3 linked regions of the Canis lupus familiaris genome follow. Each later gene encodes a partner of the first gene's protein in a complex. Links are inferred from orthologs where the notes say so. Each region holds a gene or a part of one and is shown in the gene's direction. Other genes may lie near its edges. The genes, in order: CAB39, STK11 and STRADA.

What was found.
Region 2: the proteins of CAB39 (region 1) and STK11 are in contact, whole or in part, in a crystal structure (PDB 2WTK), measured with the Homo sapiens proteins. The link is inferred for Canis lupus familiaris from reciprocal best matches to the Homo sapiens genes CAB39 and STK11. Residues at the interface, in NP_001124321.1 of Homo sapiens: Gln109, Gly111, Thr112, Lys196, Leu197, Leu238, Asp239, Arg240, His241, Phe243, Met246, Ile250, Val280, Ala283, Asn284, Pro285, Glu317, Gln318; in NP_000446.1 of Homo sapiens: Gln100, Arg103, Arg104, Glu165, His168, Ser169, Gly171, Leu201, His202, Pro203, Phe204, Ala205, Ala206, Asp207, Asp208, Phe234, Arg301, Ser307, Arg310, Lys311, Lys312.
Region 3: the proteins of CAB39 (region 1) and STRADA are in contact, whole or in part, in a crystal structure (PDB 3GNI), measured with the Homo sapiens proteins. The link is inferred for Canis lupus familiaris from reciprocal best matches to the Homo sapiens genes CAB39 and STRADA. Residues at the interface, in NP_001124321.1 of Homo sapiens: Leu26, Glu27, Lys28, Gln29, Tyr55, Gly56, Thr57, Asn58, Ala85, Asp86, Gln88, Leu89, Phe92, Glu93, Lys96, Arg107, Glu138, Leu141, Ile145, Ser176, Thr177, Phe178, Asp179, Ser182, Asp183, Glu221, Asn222, Tyr223, Val224, Arg227; in NP_001003787.1 of Homo sapiens: Pro64, Leu104, Glu105, Cys107, Ser108, Asn109, Val112, Gln116, Leu119, His120, Lys123, Leu124, Phe125, Asn126, Thr136, Phe137, Ile138, Asp140, Asn141, Leu143, Tyr185, Met189, His223, Gly224, Arg226, Val426, Asp427, Asp428, Trp429, Glu430.

Annotation. Positions count from the first base shown.
Region 1 is NC_049246.1:42,966,592-42,973,650, forward strand, and holds part of CAB39 (calcium-binding protein 39), read left to right. Parts: intron 1-1,767; coding exon 1,768-1,936; intron 1,937-7,059. UniProt on the Homo sapiens protein: Component of a complex that binds and activates STK11/LKB1. In the complex, required to stabilize the interaction between CAB39/MO25 (CAB39/MO25alpha or CAB39L/MO25beta) and STK11/LKB1.
Region 2 is NC_049241.1:58,054,814-58,062,629, reverse strand, and holds the start of STK11 (serine/threonine-protein kinase STK11), read left to right. Parts: upstream 1-2,842; 5' UTR 2,843-2,980; coding exon 2,981-3,270; intron 3,271-7,816. UniProt on the Homo sapiens protein: Tumor suppressor serine/threonine-protein kinase that controls the activity of AMP-activated protein kinase (AMPK) family members, thereby playing a role in various processes such as cell metabolism, cell polarity, apoptosis and DNA damage response.
Region 3 is NC_049230.1:15,210,912-15,218,488, forward strand, and holds the start of STRADA (STE20-related kinase adapter protein alpha), read left to right. Parts: upstream 1-3,337; 5' UTR 3,338-3,502; intron 3,503-7,577. UniProt on the Homo sapiens protein: Pseudokinase which, in complex with CAB39/MO25 (CAB39/MO25alpha or CAB39L/MO25beta), binds to and activates STK11/LKB1.

The DNA of each region.
Region 1 (7,059 bases):
CATATCTCATGAGGAGAAGCCTGGACATTAAGCCCAGAAGTTTGTCTTTATTTGATGGCAAGAGGAAATCGTTTTGAACTCCTAAGCTGGAAGTGCTATTGATACACTGGTGTGTCAGGTTAATTGGTTAAAACCCAGCTTAAACCAAGATGCTAGTTAGGGAGCTCTTGCTTTTCTAAGTGTGAGTTAATGCAACAGTGGGGATGGATGAAAGGAAACAAAATTAAAATATTTCAGAGAAGTCTTTAAAAGGATGGGTGGGGACACCGAAGATGGGAAGGTTGGAGGTGCTGAAGGGGAGAAGATGTAAACTGTTCTGTCCAATGCAGTACCTACTAACCATACTCCATCATTTCGTTTTAAATGAGTTAAATAACATTTAAAATTCAATCCCTCAGTCATACTAGCCAAATTTCAAGTGCTTAGTAGCCACATGTGGCTAGTAGTAACTACCGAAGTGGACAGCACAGGTATAGAACACTTCCATTGTCAGATGAGAAAGTTCTGGAAGACCTGTTTTAAACCTGGGCATCTGAAACAAAATCGTGGTGCCAAATTAGAGAAATGGGGAAGCAGGGGAGGGTGGCTGTTTTGCAAAGGGAGAGAAGATTTGAATTTAGATAGGGTAGTGCTTATGGTAGACCTTTAACTGAAGTTGTCCAGAGGCAACAGAAAATGCCTAACTAGAGTCCAGGAGCAGATGAGAGTAGGGGAATTTAGTCCCGGTGGGAGCCATGAAGTGCTGTGGCTGCTCACTAGCAAGCTGGCAGCCCTGGAGGAAGGAATGCCCTCAGCCCTGCAAGAAATAAGAACAGTTCGAGCAGTAGAAAGAAGAACTGAGAGAGCTTTTTCTTTCCTTTTTCAAAGACATAAATGCAAAGGTCGGCACTGTTGGGACACTAAGTAAAATTTATGTTGTGAGAGAAGTTTGGCTTAGCCAAGAGAAGGTGTTTTGCAAGTAGAATGTTGGGAAAGGCAGAGAGAATGCAGCAGGAGGATTGGAGGAGACTCTATGTTCGAAAGACACAAAGCTGCACCTGCAGCCCCAAAAGGCAGTGGAGGGGCCAAGGCCAGTCTGCACCCCTCAGAGAGGAGCAGGCGGCTGGGCTAAGAGGAAGACGGGGGTGGAGGGAGTGGGGGCTCCTTTCTGACCGAGCTGAGCCACAGACGTGTGTGCGTGACTGATGCCAGGGTGTCCCCAACACCCACCACAAGAGTTCTCCAGGCTCTCCTTGATAAGCACCTGGTAACCTCCTCAGAATTAGGCTTTCAATTTTGTGGGGTTCACGTTGCCAAGAGTCTTGAAGGTTCTATTTTGAGTATAGAATTGAAACAATGAGGTATAAATGCTATATATTTGTTAGACCTATTTAGGTACCATGAGTTTGGGAAACGATTTTATTTGTTTCATAATAGTTTTTGATTTCTGAAGTCTTAGAGCACCACATGTAAAACTAACCCCTGTTTGGAGGTGTGACCCTAAATACTCAAATCTTTTAGCTTTAAATAATAAATGTTTATTTATTATTATTATTTCTATATTTTTGTTTTCCTTTGGACTGCAGCAGTTGTCACCAGCTAATGTGTGTGTGCATTCTAGAGTAAATTCACCTGAGCATATATCCTACTCTGAGAGAGATGTCTTTTGTAACCTGCTCTAGTCACTTAATTAAGACACATCTGAGACATCTATTTGAAAAATTTGAACTGTTCAGCATTAGAGGAGTTTTAAAACAGCAATCATGATTTATTTTTTTCTTTTTGTAGGTATGAATCTCCAGAAATAGCTCTAAATTGTGGAATAATGTTGAGAGAATGCATCAGACATGAACCACTTGCAAAAATCATTTTGTGGTCAGAACAATTTTATGATTTCTTCAGATATGTCGAAATGTCAACATTTGACATAGCTTCAGATGCATTTGCCACATTCAAGGTAACATGAAACTATAGAATTCTAAATATACTTGTAAGTCCAGTTAACTGGTTTGCGGTTTTTCCCTAAACTTCTAACCTCTAAGTCTATACACGGCTGCCCTCTAGCGGGAAGAGAGAAGATATGTTTTATGTGTGTCCATGCGACTTAGGCTAATGCAGTGGAGCCACAGCTTAAAAAGGATGGAAGAGATAGATTCTAACCTCTATCTAAAAGTATGGTCTGTATGGTCAAAAGTACACTTTTCTGTTAAATTACTTACCAAGTGTGGTATACTGATATACAGTACGTCTAATAAACAGGTTTTTCTCCTGTGTTGGAACATACTACAGCAATTTCTTTGGTTAAACACCAAAGTTGTCATCTGTTCAGAGCCATGCTGATTTGGAACAGGCATGTCTTTTAATACTAGAACCACAATCAGGGCAAAGAGATTATGTTGTAGTTAGGCCCAAAGGAACAATGGACTTAGGTCTCCTACTCATGCCAAAACTTATTTATCAAATACTTCAGGAAAGGGGAGCAGAATCACCTGCCCTATTCAAATTATTATGTAGCCTCCCTTCCCTGTATACTTTATCTCCTGTTCTGTATTTGTATAAATTAAATACACATATGATATGATACTGCTGTACAACATGCACATTTTTGCTTTGAATTGTAAGGTTCTATGCTGTTTATGGTATATAGGCAGTAATATTTATTAGTGTTCTTCATAATTAAAGTAAGCCTTTAGATGTTCCATTCCCTTATGTAAAATGACCTTATGAGTGAATATTTAGAACTGCTACTTTACTGTAATCAGAATTTAATATACTAACCTGAAGACTACTTTGCTAAGAAACCATGAACACTGTTTTAGTGAGAAGTAGCCACTTTTCTCATGAGATTTCAGTTTTATGAAGGTAAAGAGCCCTTGAGATAATGAGCACACGCCTTGGTCTCTGGGTAAAATACGTTCCTTACAGTGAATGAACACCCTTGAAACAGGATGAAAACCTGGGGACCTGGCCATTAGGGTTTCACATGGAACGAGAATATGGTAATAGTGTGAGAGGTGCCTAAGGATTTATTTTCCTGAAACCATTAAAGAGGATATCGGAAGCCCTAGGTAAGATCTCAGATGTTTATGTGTCAATGTACAAAGCTAAATGAACTGAATGCCAGGTTCTAGCAGAGTAATAAATGTGGTGTCTTTTGTATCTCTGCATTTTGGGAATAGGACTCATAATTAGGATATATTGGTGGAAGGGGATGCCCATTCAAAAGCAGCAGGCCTGTTACAGAGGGAAGTATGGTAGCACCATGTGTTGTGGTGAGATCCTCCTGTGTGGAAAGCAAGCCATGAGCCAAGAGTAGCCTCTGGGGGAGAGGCAGGTGGAGGAAGAGGAGAGGAGCGGCCACAGTGTTGGGAGCACAGTCAGACCCTGACCCGGGGAGGGGCGTGCTCCATGCCATGCTTCTGGCCAAGGTAGCACACCCAGCCAGCAGGTGGGAGAGATGTGTTAACACCTTGCCAGAGATGTGATTCACAGTATTGGACAGTCTTGCTTGGCCTTACTGATAATTTCGTTATCAGCCCTCGGTTAGGGCTGCTGCTTTGAATTACATCCTCGCTAAGGAGAAAGTGGTGGTGATGGAATCACTGTGGGTCAGGCAATCCTGCCAGGTCATATTAGCCAGAGAAGGGGAGAATGGGGCAGTGCTGGGCAGGTGGTGTCGACCTAAGGAAGGAAACTTGCAGACACAGTGCAGGATTCGAAGGATGGACTTGGGAAGAGAGAGGATGACAGTAGGAAAGGGGGATAGATCTGTGTCTCATACTGTCCTCAAAGAATATGACCATACCCCGCTCTCCAGAAACGGTCTCTGCACTTTCAGACAGATGCAGCTCACCCGCAAACCCAAATTTAAAGTCTGTGGAACAGGTGCTGAGTCTCAAAAGGAAATTAAAACTACCTGCTCCAGGGGCACCTGACTGGCTCAGTTGGAAGAGTGTGCGACTCTTGATCTTGGGGTCGTGAGTTCAAGCCCCACATTGGGTTCAGAGACTACTTAAATAAATATTAAAAAAAAAAAAAAAAACTACCTGCTGTAAATGTGTCCAAGATTTGTAGGTTGAATGAATGTGTACTAAGACAGTAAATCAGTGGCCAAATGTTGTTCGTGTTTTCTTTTTTGAGGACTTAAGGAGATGGGGAGGGGCATCAGAAGGCCAACAAATATATTTCCAATTTTTCCAGAATAAAAGAAGGTAGATTCCCCAGAGAGGCTGGTGGAGCTTGGAGCTCGATGTTATACCTGTGTAAGGTTCTAGAAAGTATTTCTAAAGAGATGATTTCTGAGCATTTTGGAAAGGAAACCGTGTACCCACAGCCAGCATGGATTCACGAAGAGAGTAAGTTCAGTCATATTAATCTCATAGATGCCAGTAGATGAGGGGACTAAGAGTGTGTGGCTGCCTGGGTTCATTTCCCAGCTCTGCTGTGGATTTCATCTCAAGTTCTTCATCTGTTAAGATGGAGGTGATAATGCTAGTATGTCAGGGTTATTGTGTCTACACACAATATGTGTGCAGCAAACAGTAGCTATTAGAATTATTCCTTTATGGCCATGAGGATATGCTGAATGTTGAATAATTGTATTTTCATGGAATCAGTGAAGATAGGAGCTGGAGTTTCAGTGTAGTTATTTACATCTAATTGAATGCCATATCCATAAGGTGCTAGGGAATGGATTGCCATCACCCTGGAGAGAATTTTCTGGTGGATTTCCACTGGGCTTTATTTCAGCCCAGCTGAACATTGTTAATGACTTAGATAAAGGGTGACAAAGCCTGCTTATCAAATGTGTAGGTGATGGCTGTGAAGGAAAAGATAGCAGACAATGGTGATCCTAAAATAAGGCTTCGTAGAGATCCAGAGAGGTCAGAATGGAATAGGACGATGATTGAGGTCCCTCCACTTGAGGACCTAACTGTAAATAAGGGATGTGGGAATAAGGTATAGTAATACAGTTATTATTAAATACAGTAATTGCCAAATATAATAATTACTAATGTAGGCAATTTCATATCCTACTCAACCATCTCCTTTACAGATAAGGAGTCTAGAAATATTGGGTGAAGTCAGGCTATAAAATGGGGAACCCAGAATTTGAACCCAGGCAGTCTGCCTCCAGAGCCCACTCTGAGGAAACAAAATTCTAAATATGTCCTGTAAAATTAAATAGTGTGATGCTGCTGCCCCAAAGCTACATGTGACCACATAGTGTGTGACCTAAAGAGCTGATGATGGTCTCACCCCACTATAAGCCATTAAGGTAACAACACATAAATGTGTTCCATTCCAGGCGCTACACTTTAAGAGGCACATAGACAAATAGATGACTTTCAGAAGACAGTAGATGGTGAGGGGGACTCAGAACCTGTCATGCGAGGAGTGGTTAAAGGAACTTGGACGTATTTAGCCTGGAGAAGAGAAGACTCGGTAGGGACTTGCCGTGAGAGCACTACATGTATGTGAAGTGGGATCCTATAGAAAGTGGGTTGAACCTATTTCTGTCGGCTCTGACAGTTTCTGAAAATAACCTGGGGATAGGTTTGACTCTAGCACAGGGAGAACTTTCTAACCCTTAAGAGTTCCATAGGTGAGCCACACAGTTGGAACAATTGAGTCCCTTATCCTAGGACATGGTCAAGCATCAAGGACGAAATTGGGCCGTACAGCTTGCCAAGGCTCTGTGAAATCGAGCCCTGGGCTCAGTGGCATTTCTTTGAAGACCCCAGGGCCGTCTTTGCCACAGGGTGTTTGAGGCCCCAACTTACTGACTTTTAGGAATCTTTTTCAATTCAGCATACCCTAAAAGTTGGCTGCTCAATCTGCTGGGCTCGGGAGATGACCCCTACCTTTCTCCCAGTCCTCCCAAGGCCTTGGATATACTAGAATTCAGATAGGTTAGAAAGCAGAGATCTTGTTCCTCTCCACTGCTAGCTGACCCAGCACCTCGTGTTCTGGGACACATAGCACCCTGGAAATTTTGCACATTTCTGACCACTGACTGCCTGACCTTTTCCCTTTGCTCTGTTGATTTCTGCCCCCACCATGGTTTGAACTCTCTGAAGCTCTTGGCTCTAACCCGTGGGGTGAGGTTTCCTTTTCATCTCTCAGGTAGAGGCTCTGCCCAGGTCCCCACCTCCTCTTTCCCTGCTTAGAATTGGCCATTTTGGGTACTGACTGTCAGCAGTTGCTCCTTTCCTGCCAGCATGTCACTCCTCTCCAGGCCCTGGTGTGGCCCATCTTGACAAGGAGCTTTCATTCTGCTGTGCATTGGAGTCCAGCTCTTTCTTCAGCAGTCTCAGAGTACCCCCTCGGTCTCTCCTAACTCAAGGCTGTTCAGATTTGATTCCTAGATTGACAGTGGTTTCCTGAAGTTTCCTGGTTTCTTGAAACCAGATGGTAATAGAATCTTTCCTAGACGGAGAGATGTTAGAGGTGTGTCCCCCCCCCGCCCCCCGTTTCCTCTGTGGCCCAGCTGTGAGGCTCTTGCTCCTACTTGAGACCTTTCAGAGTGGTTTCCTTACTCAAAACTTTAGTAAAAATCTGTTGCACCACGGGTTTAGGACTTTGCTTTCTAGAGCAGTATTTTCTACCTGCCTGTCCCTAAAATCAACCCCAGTTGAGGAGCCATTGTAGCCATTGACTAGCCCAGCAGTAAGGTCCCTTCCAGTTTTTGGTGTTCTCTTCTGTTAGATTATGGTAGAACAGTGAACACTGTGTTCCTTTTGCAGTACTTCCTTATATTGGTCTCCAGAGTGATTTAGCCACAAAAAAAGTAGAAATGACACTTAGTTTTGCATGGATCCTGACACACTAATCCCTTAATTCGCTTATTCACTTGTTCATTCTGCTTACTCCACAAGCCTGAGTGCCGACCCCATGTCAGGCACCATTCTTTCGGCAGTGGGATTCAGCAGTGAACCATGCACATCCCTGCCCTTGAGGCTCCTACACAGGGGAGGTCACCACACACAGATTACAGTCACATATAGAAGGAGGAAGTGCCCTTCACAGGCTTGCTTGACATTCCCTTCGAGTTCTTGTGTACCTCTGCCCCTGATAGCT
Region 2 (7,816 bases), on another chromosome or scaffold:
GCTGTCCCATCGCAACGAGGATGTTGGATTTACTGGCACAGAGTTGTTTCCAGTACACGATCCTTTATCATATCTGCGGCGTCTGTAGGGACATCCTTTCGGTCATTCTTGACGTCGCTCCTCTTTCTTGGCCAATCTGGTCTGAGGTCCGTCATTTTCTTCAAAATCCTTTCAGAGAACAATTTCTTGGTCTCATGGGTTTTCCCCGATGGTTTTCCGCCCTGATCTCTGAGATGTCCTTGGTCCGGGAATGGGGTGAAGCCCATGCACGTTGTCCCCCACATACTGTCCCCCGGTGTACGGTGTTCCTCAGTGCACGCTGTCCCCTGGTGCACACTGTCCCTCGCACGCTGTCCCTTGCATGCTGTCCCCCGGTGCATGCTGTCCCTCACACGCTGTCCCCCAGTGCACGCTGTCCCCCGGTGCACGCTGTCCCTCGGTGCACGCTGTCCCCTGGTGCACACTGTCCCTTGCACGCTGTCCCTCATTGCACTTGTACCCTGGTGTACGCTGTCCCTAGCACGCTGTCCCCCGGTGCATGCTGTCCCCCGGTGCATGCTGTCCCTCAGTGCATGCTGTCCCCCGGTGCATACTGTCCCTCGCACGCTGTCCCTCAGTGCACGCTGTCCCCCGGTGCACGCTGTCCCCCGGTGTATGCTGTCTCTCGCACGCTGTCCCCCGGTGCACGCTGACCCTCGCACGCTGTCCCCCGGTGCACGCTGTCCCTCAGTGCATGCTGTCTCCCAGTGGATGCTGTCCCTCGTTGCACGCTGTCTCTCGTTGCACGCTGTCCCTTGGTGCACGCTGTCCCTTGCACGCTGTCCCTCGTTGCACGCTGTCCCTTGCACGCTGTCCCTCGTTGCACGCTGTCCCCCGTTGCACGCTGTCCCTTGCACGCTGTCCCCCGGTGCACGCTGTCCCTCGCACGCTGTCTCTCGTTGCACGCTGTCCCTTGTTGCACACTGTCCCTCGCACGCTGTCCCTCGGTGCACGCTGTCCCTCGGTGCACGTTGTCCCTCGCACGCTGTCCCCTGGTGCCTCACGCACGCGGCCGTGGGTACCCGGCAGGTCTTGGGCTCAGAACCGCGGCCTGCAGCCCACCCCGGAGTGCCAGCGCCCCCAGTCCCCAGGCCCGGGCTGGGGCGAGTCCGAGCTTCACGCGGGACGGGCCGACGGTTCCGGGAACACAATCTCGGAGGACGTGAAGGCACAAAGGCGGGGAAGGACGGCCCGCCGCAAGGGAGGCGCGGGGGCTTCCTCCAGCCCGCGTAGCCCAGCCTGCCGAGCTGCCGCCCCCCCCTCCCGGCCCCAGCTCCCGGGGACGCTCGGCACGGGCCCTCGGCCGCGAACGGACCGCTCCGGGCACTCTCGGAGTCATCTCCACGCCCCGCGCGGGGTCGACCTCACGCCCCCCCCCCCCCCCCGCCCAGCCCCGCAGGCTCCGCCCGCTGGCCGGCCGCGTGGCCCCGGGGCCCCCGAGCCCAGTCCCCCGGCCCGCGGGCGCGCTGCCCGCCGCACAGCCGTTCCCAGGCGGCCGTTGTCGCCCACGACCCCCGCCCGCCGCCCCGCGCCCCTCCGAGGCCGAGCCGCCGCAGCGACTCCCCGCGCGCCCGCTTCCCGCCAGCCCCGCCTCCCCGTGACGGGCGCCTCGGCGGCCCAATGAGCCGAGCGGTAGCCGCCCCCGGGGCGGGGCCGAGGGTGAGCCAATCCCCACTTGGGCGCCCGCCTGGGTCCAAACGGCCCAATCGGCGGCGGCGGCGGGGCGGGCCTCGGGGGCGGGGCCTGCCGCCTCAGCCAATGGGCGGGCACGCCGGCGGCGGCAGGGGCGGGCGTGCGGCGGCGCGGCGGCGCAGGGCGGGGGCGGGAGGTAAACAAGATGGCGGCGGCGTGTCGGGCGCGGAAGGGGGAGGCGGCCCGGGGTGTCCGCGACTGAGGCGGGGCGCGGGAGGCGGCGGCGGCGGCGGCGGCGGGCGCCGGCCGGCTCCGCGGCGCCTTGCATGGGCTGGGCCCCCGCGCCGCCCCGCCTGCTCCACGCGCGCGGCGGCTGCGGCGGGGGCGCTCGCCGTCCGGGCCCCGGCGGCCTCGGGAAGCCCCGGCCCGGGCCTTCGGCCTGCGCCGCCGCGGCCGCTCGGAGCCCTCCGGGTGCCCGCGCCCCGCGGCCCGCGGCCGGCGGCGTTCGCGGCCGAGAGCGAGCGCGGGCTGCCGTTTGGGGCGGGGGGCGGCCGCTGCGGGGGCGCCGGCTCCGACGGAAGTTGCTCCCCGCGGCGGGAGGGCCCCGGGCAGCCCCCCGGCCCCCCGACGCGCGCCCGGGGCTGGCGGGGGCGGACGCCGCTGCGCCCCGCGCCGTCCGGAGAGGCGCCCGCCGCGGCCTCGGGCCCCCGGGACGGCGGGCCCCGCCGGGAGCCGCCCCCAGCAGCGCGCCCGGCCGCCGGCACCGCTCGGCTGCGCAGCCCGGGGCCCGGGGGCCGGCGGGTCGCCGCGGGGCCCTGTCTGGGCGCGCGCCCCGGCCCGCTGGTGATGCCCGGCCCGGAGGGGACTCGGCCCGGCCGCAGCGGCGCTCGTCCGAGGGTCTGAAGTCCCTGGAGGATGACCTAGCGCTCGGAAGCCCCACCGGCCTCCGGAGGGCCCCCGTGGACGCGCCGGCCCGGCCCGCAGCCGCGAGGCGGGCAGGCACCCAGACTTGCGACGCCCCGCGCCCGCGGCCGCCGGGGCTCCGGGCCACGCGCGCCTCTTGAACTCACGACTAGTACAATCGTTTCTTTCCGGACAGGGGTTTTCCTGTTTTTTTTTTTTTTCGATTTTTCCTTTTTTTGCATTTTTGTTGACTTTTTTTTTGGGGGGGGGGAGGGAGGGTTTGTTTTCGGGCCTTTTATTTTGGAGAAGGGAATTTTAGGGGGACAAAAGGAAGAACCGCGCACCAGGGGCAGCAGATAAGGGAGATAAGGGACCGCCGGCCACAGTCGGAGGCGCTGGGTCCAGAATGGATGTGGCCGACCCGCAGCAGCTGGGCATGTTTACGGAGGGGGAGCTGATGTCCGTGGGGATGGACACGTTCATCCACCGCATCGACTCCACGGAAGTCATCTACCAGCCCCGCCGCAAGCGGGCCAAGCTCATCGGCAAGTACTTGATGGGAGACCTGCTAGGGGAGGGCTCCTACGGCAAGGTGAAGGAGGTGCTGGACTCGGAGACGCTGTGCAGGAGGGCTGTCAAAATTCTCAAGAAGAAGAAGTTGCGGAGGATCCCCAACGGCGAGGCGAACGTCAAGAAGTAAGTGTGGACTTCCTGGGTCGTTGCGCGGGCAGCCAGCAAGGTCGGTCATCCTCCCCCCTTTCCTTCTTGCTTGTTCCCGTTCCTTAAACTGTCGAGGTGCCCGGGCAGCTCCCGTGTCCTCCTCCCCAGGGCAGGTGTTGTTGGGAACCTGCTCAGGTACCGTGCGGCGAGTCAGGCCAGCTTGCGGCAGCTGGGTGTCCCCTTCCTTCCGATGCTGGCGTCCAAGCCTTTTCCAGATGAGGGTGCGTCCCATCCCCCCCCTTCACCCTCCCAGCTGTCGAAAGAATTTAGGTGCCCAGTGTAACCAGCCAATGTTTATTTGGCTCTGAGAATTTGTGTTCCTAAACGGCCCTGGCCACCACCAGCAGGTTTTCTGCGCAGCGCAGCGTGCAGCTGTTACTAGGGCCAGGCGAAATGCGATTTGTTTACCCTGTTGGAGGGGAGCCCTGCGGTTGCCAAAAATAATTGTTTGCCCTGGCTTATCGGTCAGCAGGGGGTAACTCAGCCTTTTCTTACTCACTTGGGATGTGACACCAGACACATCCGTGACTGCAGGCCCAGGTGACTCCCTGGGAGAGGAACCAGATTGTGTCCTGGCAAACTTTTTACCCAAACTTCTTCAGGCGCGTCAGCCCCTAGGCGTCGCAGAGGTGTTGAAGTCTGTGCTGGAGTCTCCCCAACCCCCAAGGATGGGGCGGGGGGGGGGGGTGCGTCTCCATCCCTCTCGCTGATCTCAGGAGGGGGCGTCCCTCCTCATGGCTGCCACCCACTGGGTCCCCGCCCCGCCTGGGCTCCTGCTCCTCCCAGCCTCCAGTTTCCCAGAAGGGGTTTATCTCTCGGGCCAGGCAGCAGGACTGACGACCTTGGACGTCCCTCCAGGCCCATCCTGGAAAGTGCTGCTCCCCTATCCGCGTGCACCTCCCCCTTCCTGGCCGGGTTGGCTCTCACGCAGAAGCTGAGCTGTGTTCCCTCGCTCCGGGCTGGCTTGGGTCTGGGCGTGGTGAAGCTGTGGATGGAACGGGGAACCCAAACCGGACTGGCTCTGCTGTTGATGCGCAGCTGGCCGGGGCGGTCGTCTTCCCGTGCGGTCCGAAGGCAAGCCTGGCGGTGTTGTGGCGAGGTCTTTTTATCCCTAGTGACCTGAGGGATGCTTCATTGGTCGCCCAGCCTGTGGGCGCCGAGAAGGGATGGCCGGGTGCCCTGGGGCCAGCCTCTTACCTGTGAGGTGGGGTGGGGGAGACTGAGGCAGGTGGCAAGCCAGCACCCCCTGAGGTCCAGGTGACCCTCACCTCCAGTCAGAAATCCCCATTCAACCCCTGGCTTCTAAGTCCTGTTGGCTCATTAAGCCAGACGCACCTGGGAGTTATGTGGCCTCGGGCTGCCTGTTTGCCACCCTTGTGGGGTGGGGGACAGTGAGCTCCTGCCCTGGAAACAGCTCCTCCCCCAGTGTCCCAGGTCCACCTTGGTCCTCCTGGCTCCTCTTCAGTCTCATCCCCTGATATGTGTGGGCAGCAGGGTGCCGGTCCCTTCCCTGCTAGTTGGAGGCAGCCGGGTCCGTGCAGATGTTCGGGTGCTGGCTCCTTTGCTCCGTGCTGCTGGGGCTTCCCCAGACCCCAGCCTTCTGGGAGCAGCGCCTCGAGGTTCCCAGAATCCGTGAGTCCCGTTCAAGGGCTAGGGCTGGGTTCTAGCACCAGTTGACCTGTGGCTGGGGCACCCAAGCCCACCCTGCTAGTGGTTCTGGGGCGGCTGGTGGCAGCAGAGTGGAGCAGGCCCCAGGACTCTGCGGACCCCTGTTGCGGTGGACACATGCCTGTCTATGCTGAGGCACAACGTACCTGTTGTGCGGGCACTCGGTCATGACGCGCGGTGTGAGACTTGACAAACGGCACACACCCAGGGTCAGACTGCCACCTACAAGAGTTCCCTGATGCTCCATGGAGACACATGACCAGAACCTGACTGGGGGGTTGACGGGCGCTGGCGTCCCAGTCTCTGCTTTCCTGAATGGTCAGCAAGGCCCCCAGAGCTGGTGGAGACATCTGGGTGTGCAGTGTTGGGGCTGCAGGGCGCTCGGTCCTGCAGTGTCCATCAGAAGAACCTGAGGGGAAACTGAGGCCTGGCAGGTGCAGTGTTGGGAGTCCCCAGCTGGCTTGGCAGTTGGCATAAGGTGTCACAGTGGTAGGGCACTTGGCCCGTTTCATCAGCTCAGGACCCGGCTTTCATGAGAAGGAAAGGGGTGTCCTTGCAAGAGGAGGTCTGGGCTCCCGGGTCAGCCTTGCTGCCAGCCGGCTGCAGGGAAAAAAAGGCTCCTTTGTCTTCGAGAGGCTTAATAAACTCCAATTGCTTTTTCCCAAGTGAAGTGTCCGGAACCTTCCAGACAAGCCTCAGGAGTCCCAGCTTGGACTAGAAGCTTTTTTTAAAAAAATGACGTCTGTGATCAAGTTTGGGGGGAGGCTCAGGACGTGCCCACTTTGTGTGGTTTTCTCCCAAGAACTGCTGTGGGCCTGTGCTTGCCCCCCTCTTCCTCATGCTCCTTGAAGCTAGCATGTTTTTATACAGCAAGAGAGTTTCAGAAAGCTTCAAGTAAGAAAAATATATATATCAGTCATGAATTCAGAACATGTTCTCTTGTCATATGTGTTCAAGTTTTTTTTTATCTTTTTATAGATAAAACTTTTTATAGACTCACCAATTTTATTTTAAAGAATTGTATTTATTTACCTTTTTTTTTTTTTATGATAGTCACACAGAGAGAGAGAGAGAGAGAGAGAGACAGAGAGAGATTGGCAGAGACACAGGCAGAGGGAGAAGCAGGCTCCATGCACCGGGAGCCCGATGTGGGATTCGATCCCGGGTCTCCGGGATCACGCCCTGGGCCAAAGGCAGGCGCCAAACCGCTGCGCCACCCAGGGATCCCTATTTACTTATTTGAGCGCGTACATGAGCAGGGCGCTGGGCAGAGGGAGAGGCCGACTCCCTGCTGAGCTGGGAGCCCGATGTGGGGCTCCATCCCAGGACCCCAGGATCGTGACCTGAGGGATGCTTCATTGGTCGAGCCACCCAGTCACCCCTCATCGTTTTTATTGTTGTATTTTTATCCCGCATCATTTGTAGAAGATAAGTCATGTTCACTTGTTTTTCTGACAGGCAGCAGAATCACATGGATTGAACCCATAAGAGTTGGGAAGAAGGCAAACGTTTGTGGAGTCTCCCTCACTCCCTCCCCTCTCGGGGCACTAGGGGGATCTGCTGCCGCGTGTCCTGCCCGTGGGGTTTTGTGCGGGTATAGGCAAAACTGCACGTTCTTCCCCTTTTGCACAGTTGCTTCCCCGGGCTGGCGCACTTCACAGGGCAGGTAGTAAACCGGCTGGGCCCTGCAGGCCTCGGACTGCTGCACGTCCGTGCTGGAGCAGCGGGAAGGCAGCCACAGGCCGCAGGTGTGTGACCCAGTGGCTGCACCCACGACAGTGTGCAGACGCCACGACTCACTTTTCAGTCTCGTGTGTTACAAAACATTGTCCTTTGTGGGGTTTTCTTCTGTCGGCTGTTGAGAAATGTGGAAATCGCTTGCTGCTCGCTGCCGCCGTCTAGTCGCGGGGCAGTCACTGTGGCCTCTCAGGCGTGGTTCTTGGACCCCTGCCCTTCCGGCCCAGCCAGTTTGCTTTTCTAATGTCAGGCTTCTAGGTCATCCCCATGGCGGCCTTGTTGGGGTGCAGCGCTCCACCGTCAGGCCTCACCTGCCTCCTGCTGGTGGCTCCTGTGCTGCGTTGGGGAATTCCTTGCTTTCCCGTCCCATTGCAAGTGCAAGGGTATTTGAAGGGCATGTCAGCTCAAGTGGAGTTTTTGGGTCAAAGGGAGCACGTGTGCGTTTGATAAGCTATGTCCAGAGTGCCGGTCCCCCTAGCGTCCCCAGCCGGTCTCCTCCAACCAGATTCTCGGTCCTGAGTGGCCAGGAGCACGGGTCCTCGCGGGCGGCGGTGGCCTGTAAGCAGGTGTGGGTTTCCAGGCTGGGGCGTCAGTGAGGCCGGGGACCGCCTTGTGGTGATGGGCACATAGTTGGATCTGGACAGTGAGTGATTGGGCTTTCAGTCCACAGTCAGAGCCCAGGACTCTCGGCTCTTGTTCTTGTCCCAAGTGGCCTCTGCAAGGTCCCAGCATCTGTCCCTCCCCACCCCCGCCCCGTCCTGGGAAGGGTTCCACGGGGAGCCCAGGCTGGCCGGCCGCCAGAGGCGGCAGCAGGAGGGCGAGGTTTGTCCGCGCGCACACCCACGGCCAAGGGCCCGGGGCCTCCCTGAATGTCTGGTCGGTCCCTGTGGGGGGAGGGGGAGTTGATTCTGAACCGTGGGAGCTCAGGGCCACCCTGGGCTCTGGGGACCGTCGGGACGTGTGCCAGGCCTGGGTGTATGGAAGGCTGCCGAAGCTGCCCTTTTCCTGGATCCGCCGTGTGGCTGGACTGTGTTCTTTAACGGCTCTATTGATACGTAACTCACAGAATTCAGAGCGTTAAGGTGTAATTCAGTGGCTTTTAGTGCTTAACCAGGTT
Region 3 (7,577 bases), on another chromosome or scaffold:
ATTCATATGAACTACCTATGGACATATATTAAACTAATTGACAAAAATCTCAGAGTGCCGCCTTTACTTTTCTGGGGTTGCCCTACAAGAGTATAAACCCATAGGAATGCTCTTTCTGTTCAACAGATGTCAGCACTGAAATGCTTTACCTTCCAAAGAGTTGGCCTTGATAATAATCCTTTAGTTTGTTACCAGTTATTTTTAGAATGTTTTCTATTTTTAGAGCTCTATATATTATTAATGGGCTCCTCCCCAAAGTCCACCTCTTCAGTTAAGACACCATTATCTCTCCTATGAATGAGAGGAGAATATTGTTGACTGCCACACGTTTGAACACCACTGAGCCCTCCTTTTCTGCATTGCCTGGCCACTTGCAAAACAGGCACTGGACTGGAAGATAAAGACCTGACTGTAGTGCCAGCAAAATCAATACTAAGCCCTTGACTTTGGGCAAGTCATTAACTTCTTTGAGTCTCTGTTCTGTTCTTCTTCGTACAAAGTAAGGATAGTAACTGTTTTCTTCCCTATCCCACAAGTAGGTCAACACCAAAAGATAATATGTGTAAAGTTCTCACATAAAGCACTTTAAAAATGTGAGGTATCACCTAGGACTTTTCTCTAAGTGGTGCATTTTTGCTTTACTCCCTTTTGTTTTCCTTCCTCCCAATGGAAACCAAGCAGATCCTTTCAGAGTTCTCTAACTTTATCTATAAAATATGACAGGGTATTTTGGAATGGAGGTTGGGGAATAATACCTTTCTGTTTCCTTAGTAATAGAACCTTTTCCTATCATGGATTAAAAGTTGAAACTCTTTAAATGAGACTTAGACCAAAGAATCACTGATTGGTATTCTCATTCCACCCATCCAATAGGAATAGACACATGAAAGTTATTTAGAGCAGTGTTATACAAAGAATCTATTGGTTTTGGTGGGATGGGTAAAATACTGTATTTTATCATCCCAGATTCTCTTTTCTATGTTCCTGTTCCTACTCATTTTAAGTGATTTGAAAGGATGTAAAAGGGAGGAAGCAGTTATACCCAAAAGAGTGGCTTCTACTACAGACTGCTAAAACAATTAGTGGAAAGTATTAGTTTCTGGAGGTTGGTGATTAGCGAAAGATTTATTTCCATTTGGAAGAAAGTATAGGGTTTTAATCCGTTGACAACAAGTTGAATGCCATCTTGGCTCCATTAACTGAAAATAACCAATTTCAGAAGAAAACGGACTTTTTCCCCCTGAAAAGCAGAAACTTGCATCTACTATGCCACTTTTAATGGATTTTGTTTTTATTTTCATCTTTTAAAATTAACTGTCAAATAAATAAAATTAACTGCCTTTTAAAATTTCACCCATCTGGTTTTATCCAAATAGTGGGACTTTTATTTATTTAAGACACCTAGGCCTTTTTAAATGATTAGTTCTTATCACATTTTGAGCTTAAATGCTTAAATTTCTTTCTTCTGCATCTTTTTCTTCTATGTAACTATCAGAACATTTGTAGCAAAGCTAGAAGCCAGCTTTCTGCTTCAGAAAAGAGCCCTGGGTTTGTAACAGGGATGCTGGTGCCGTCCTAGTGCTTGAACAAGTCTGTTTCCTCCTCCATGAGTGGGCATTCTCCACTTTTCCCCCTTCTGAAATGGCTGTTCAGAGGATATAAGACAGCATGTGTAATGTGCTTTTGAGATAAAAGATGTTCTATAAATTAAATAACCCTGTTCAATTCACTAAACCAAAAGTCATAAGCATTTCTCTCACTTGAGTATCTTAGGCAATTAGTGTTACCTTACCTTTCTGACAATTTATATGATATCTTGAAGAGGCCAGTGCACTTAAACTGGATGCCTAGAGTTCAAAGCAAAACTTTCTCATCACAAGTCAAAAACAAAGCAGGGAGTCTTTGTAAACTCTGAAAGTTGACCTTTCATTTCACTGATTTTCTAAATTATCCGGATTTAGGAGGCCCTTTTGCAAGGAAAACTAAAGTGAATGGAAATTTGCTCCTTGGAACAATCACAACTGAAGCTGTGCCTAAAGTTTCTCTTACTAGCTTTTGTGGGCAGTCGTGAAGATGGTGAGACCTTTTGGCCTCCTTGGCAGATTAACATCCAGTTAGAAAATGACATGGCTGCTGGGATAGGTGTGCTGGGAAGAGCCTTTATGTTCTAATTCCCCAGAGCAGTGGCTGCATCATTTGGCATCTTTTCAGGCACTGAAAAGATGTGGTCCAAAGACCACGTGTGAAGAAGGTGTCCTCTTCTAAATAACACCAAGAATTTTACTTCAATTTTTAGCAGCTTCCTTCGTCAGTTTACCATTTGCTGCAGAGAGAGGCCTCTTACTTTGAAAATGAGAGAACAGCGTGGATCTTGCTTTAGAAAATTAAAGCACTAGATGAGATCAAAGTGATATCAGTATGTAAAACTGAATGAGGTCCTGGAGTCACCGGCAAAGTTCACATTCACCTATTTTCGTTCAGTTTGGATGTAGCTGAATTCTCTCATCTTGGAAGTTGGGCCAGTATAAATCTGTGTCATGGGACAGAGCTGCGAAGAGCCTGTGACCCATCCTTGCTGGGATCCATCCAACTTTGGACACAGGTGCCATCCCGAGTAGGTCCCTGGAAAGACGAAGCCCCACAGGAGTCTCACTCTGCTCAGGCTTGCTTCCCGCTCAAGGCAAACCTGACGGGGGTCTGCAGAACATGCCCCTCAGGCTTGTGCACAAGGAAGGATCCAGGGACAAAAAGATCCAGAAGTGGGGGGAAAAAGTTTCCGTTAGCTGAGCTGTTTTCCTCCTTTTACAAATAAGGAACCTGAGGCACAAGGAGTGGGTTTCCCCTTTGCAGTTTGCCAGTCTGGGGCTGGAGGGGCGTTTGGGAGGTCTTCAAAGAAAAGTGCGAGACGGTTTTTCCATTCAGGTACTACCACACAAAATGAAAAAAAATTTTTTTTTTCTTAAGTAGCTAAATCCTCAGCCAGGTGTTTGTTTGCCTTACTCTAGTTACCGCCCCGCCCGACTCTTCATTATTGAGATCATCCTACTTCCTTCCTGCTGCAGGGGCGGGGAGGCTCCGCGGAGCCCCCTGTCGACCAGCTTCGCCTTCGGCTTCCACACACTAGGGACAGGGACCCCTCCCTCGGGGCGCGCCGCGCGGACCGAGCTAACCTAGAACCTAAGACGCGCTCGCCGCGCGGCGAGTGCCGAGGACCTGCCGCCGGAGCCCCGCGCCGCTGACGAGACGCCGGACGCGCTCAGAGCCGGGGGGAGCGGGGTAGGGGCGGGGGCGGGGCGGGACGGGGCGGGGGCGGGGCTTCCTTACCCGCTCCGGGGTGGAGCCGGGGCGGGGCGGAGCTCTCCAGCCCTCCCCGGGTCCCGCTACTGCGCATGGCACGTTGCGTACCTCCCCCCACCCCCAGCAACCGGCCTGGCGGCGCGGCCCTAAACTAAGGAGGCGGAGCTGAGACGGGGTCGGGACTGCTTGCTAACTCCAGGACCAGGTACCGGGCTGGCGGGGCCGCCTGGTGCGCTCCAGGGACCGGTCCCTTCTCGCCCTGACGCCGATTCCATCTCCTCCGGGGCGGGCCTTCGTCAGATCGGCCATCCCGGCGCCCCCTCGCCCTCCACGGGCCCCTTTGCACCCAGTCCTCCTCGATTTCCCGCAACGAGGGGCTGCAGCCCGAGAGCAGAGTAGGCTTGGGCCTGCCTGGGAGACCCTGGAGCGGAGATGCCGGGCGAGAGGGGCGAGCGCCTGTTTTCCGTACCCTTCTTCCCCCCTGACTCCTAGGTGGGGAGCTTGGGGCCCAGGTGTCAGTTTGTCCTGTCCAAAGAGGAGGCCGATCCTGTGCTGACCTGACCTTCTGTCCCATCCCACCACCCCAATTCCCATCTCTCCCAGGCTGGACCGGCAGCGAATCAAGCCCCCTTAGGAGAGAGATTTAGGGGACTCCCTGAATCAGCAAAAACAAAGAGCTTCTAATGTCTTGTTTTCCAAGAATGTTTGGGTGCCCACAGATTAGGGGTGGAGATGGGCGGTGGGGGTAGGGAAGTGAGCGCGAGGAAAGGAGAGTGGTTAAATAAAATTGTTCCAGTTTCCAGGAAATGGGGGACTAATTTTTCTGCCCAGCCTTCTTTTAAGATAACCTACCATATTCTAACTTGACTTTCCCCAAAAAGGAAAAGCCGTTCGAATTGGTCCTTTTCTTACTGTATAATACCTGTTGAAGTAGAACCATATTCCAGTGTGTATTTGAGGCATTAGGACAGTTCTTTGACTGATTCATGCTGTTGAAAGACACCCAAGATTGTTTCTTATTCTTGAGAATTGAAGAAGCTGAGTCTCATTTGGTTACCTGCCTTAGGCCAAGAGCCTACTCAGCCATTTGTTACAGTGCTGAACTTAAGTCTATTCCCTAACCCTTCAAACAGGTTTCTTAGGGTATTGTGACTCAGATGTTAGTGTTTGTAGTTGTAACCGCAGACCTGGATGAAATTTAGAAAAACAGTGACAAAAATAGGGGAAAAGGAAAAAAAAATAATAAATCAAGGTGAATTAATTCTTTTCTATACTATTTGGCATCTGGTCAGCAGCACTGTCAAATCAGGTGATGTCTTCTCAGTCAGTCATCATTGTATCTTTGTAGACACTTTCCCCTGGACTGCTCTATAATCACTGTGGTTGCTGGAGCACAGGCTTTGGAGCAGATCTAACTGGTCCTCTGCCACTTGCCCGTGTAATTTTGGGCATTTAACCTCTCTGAGCTTTTATTTTTTTTTTTTTTTTTTTTTTTTTTTTTTTTTTTTTTTTTTTTTTTTTTTTTTATTTTTTTATGATAGTCACAGAGAGAGAGAGAGAGAGGCAGAGACACAGGGAGAGGGAGAAGCAGGCTCCATGCACCGGGAGCCTGACGTGGGATTCGATCCCGGGTCTCCAGGATCGCGCCCTGGGCCAAAGGCAGGCGCTAAACCACTGCGCCACCCAGGGATCCCCTCTCTGAGCTTTTAAGTTCCTGATCTGTAAAATGAGGAAGATAGTACTTATTGTGAGCTGATCTGTGTGAAGCGTTTAGCACAGATCCTTGCATCTCGTAAGTTCACCATAAATGCTTGCTGCTTTTATTATTTTTGCGATTAACAGTTTAACAGATACGGGAGTGCCCATCTCATATGTTGGGCACAATAGCCCCTGGTAATGCAATAGTGAGCAAGATGCATTGGCAATTAGCATTGTGGTAAGTGTGAGGGTTGAATATGGAGGCTGACACCTAACATGTAGGGGAAGGGGAGGCGGGGGGCAGTTAGAGAGGACTTCTGTAGCACAGGACACCTGAGATGAGTAGTAAGGAACTACAGGTTAAAGGTAACAAGGCCAAGGGAGCAAAGGTGGTCCAAGAGGGGAAGAAATTAATTTTTTCTTTGGACTCCCATTTCCTACCTGCCCTCAGGTATGATGTCCCCAATATAGACCTATCCCAAGGCTTGCTTCCCAGCCTTCTGCTTTTCTCTCCGCATTTTTTTCAGTGCATTTGTCACTTGTATAGCTTTGGCGCTATCTCCCAGGCCCACATAGTCATCTCTAATGTGTCTCTTAAGCATCAGTCTTACTTTTCTAACCAACTGCTATATCTTCTCACTTGAGATACATAACTATTTTCTCAACCTCAACATGATTTAAAAACTCGAACTCATCTTTCCACTAGAACCGCTTCCACCTCTGAGTTTCCTGTTTTGTCGCTGACACACTGTTCTTTCCCAGTTACTTGGGAAAAAAAAAATCGGAGTCATTCAAGTTGTCTACAGTAGAATAGGTTCCCGATAAGGTAGTAAGTCTCTGGCTGGGGAAGTTTTCAAGCAGAGGCTAAATAATCTTACATCCAGGAGTTTGTGAAAGCTGTTCCTCCGAAGGGTGGAGGATGGGCTAGATGACTTATGATGTCCTTACTAACTAAATATAATTTCTTTATTTTCCCTTCATTTCCTATCCATCTGTTTCTTAACGTTCCCTCTGCTACAACTCTTATCACACCAAATATGGCCCATATAATTGTGTTCTAACTGGAATTCCTTTCTCTGAGGAATTCCAGAGAATTCCCTTACCTTCTCCCATCCCTTTGCAGATTAATATTCCTTAGAATATTTCTAGAACAAGGCTTCTCAAACATTAGTACGATGGTCCACAGATCAGCGACATAATCATCATCTGGGAGTTTATTAGAAGTACCAGGCCCCGCTCCAGACCTTCTAAATCAAAACATGCACTTTTTTTTAAAAAAAAACCTGCACTTTTAATAAGATCCTCAATTTATTTGAATGCACAATGAAGTTTGAGAGACTAGACTATCTTAGACCACTGTTTTGTGTTTGTCACCATTCTGGTCAAAACCTACAGTGGCTTCCTAGTGCTGAAGAAAATCGATGCATATAAGGCCTCTTCATTGTTCTCATTTATCTGGAGTTAGTTGTGCTTCTATAACTGGCCTCACATTAAGTGGAGAAAATAGGGATCCCTGGGTGGCGCAGCGGTTTGGCGCCTGCCTTTGGCCCAGGGCGCGATCCTGGAGACCCAGGATCGAATCCCACATCAGGCTCCCGGTGCATGGAGCCTGCTTCTCCCTCTGCCTATGTCTCTGCCTCTCTCTCTCTCTCTCTCTGTGACTATCATAAATAAATAAAAATTTAAAAAAATTAAAAAAAAATAAGTGGAGAAAATATGCAAAGTGCTAACATACTTCTCGGTACTTTGGGTCAGTCAATCAACATTACTGAGTGCCTACTCTATGACAGGTAGGCACTATTCTAGAAACTGGGAGATACACATGTGGACAAAACAAAGTAAGCACTAAAAATCAGTAGCTACTACTATTTCATGCTTGGAATTCCTCCTATTTGACATTGAAGCCCCACCCCTTCAATAAAACTATCCAGGTCTATCTCAGCTTATAGTAACCATCTTCCCTTTTCCTGAACACTGTAAGGGCTTGCCCATTTCTGCTTGTGCATTCCCCAGACCTTGCCGAATTAAAAATTTTTGAAGATGGGAGTTTGAACATCCATAGGTTTTTTATAACTATGCAAGTTAATTTGAAACACATCCTGGGTTGAGAACCAATGTTCAGATAATTAAAGAAGCTGTTGATGTGGTAGTCTAGGACCAGTTCTTAGGTTTGTTATATTAATTTATATGGTGTTTAGGGATTGACTTTATTTTCTATTTCCAGTATTTTCCAGAGCTGGACAGTTCTGCAGATAACAATCATCTTTTTATCTACATTAATATTCTATTTTCTTTCTGTTATAGACTACAAATGGATATGGATCCTGTTTCCTCTTAAGTTTCTTTTGTACAATGCTTTGTGTTTAATGTTATTAAATAATTTGCACTCTAATAATCTTTTTATTTTTCAAATTTAGTCAATATTTTTACTATTTCATGCCAGGATAAATGATTCTCAACATGGTGATGATCTTCTATGAGAAGATTAGGATAGGGGTGAGGATAAATGCAATTTGATAAAAATCTATAGGTGATTTCGATTAAAAACCATTGCTTTGATTTCTAAGCAGTTCAAAGGATTC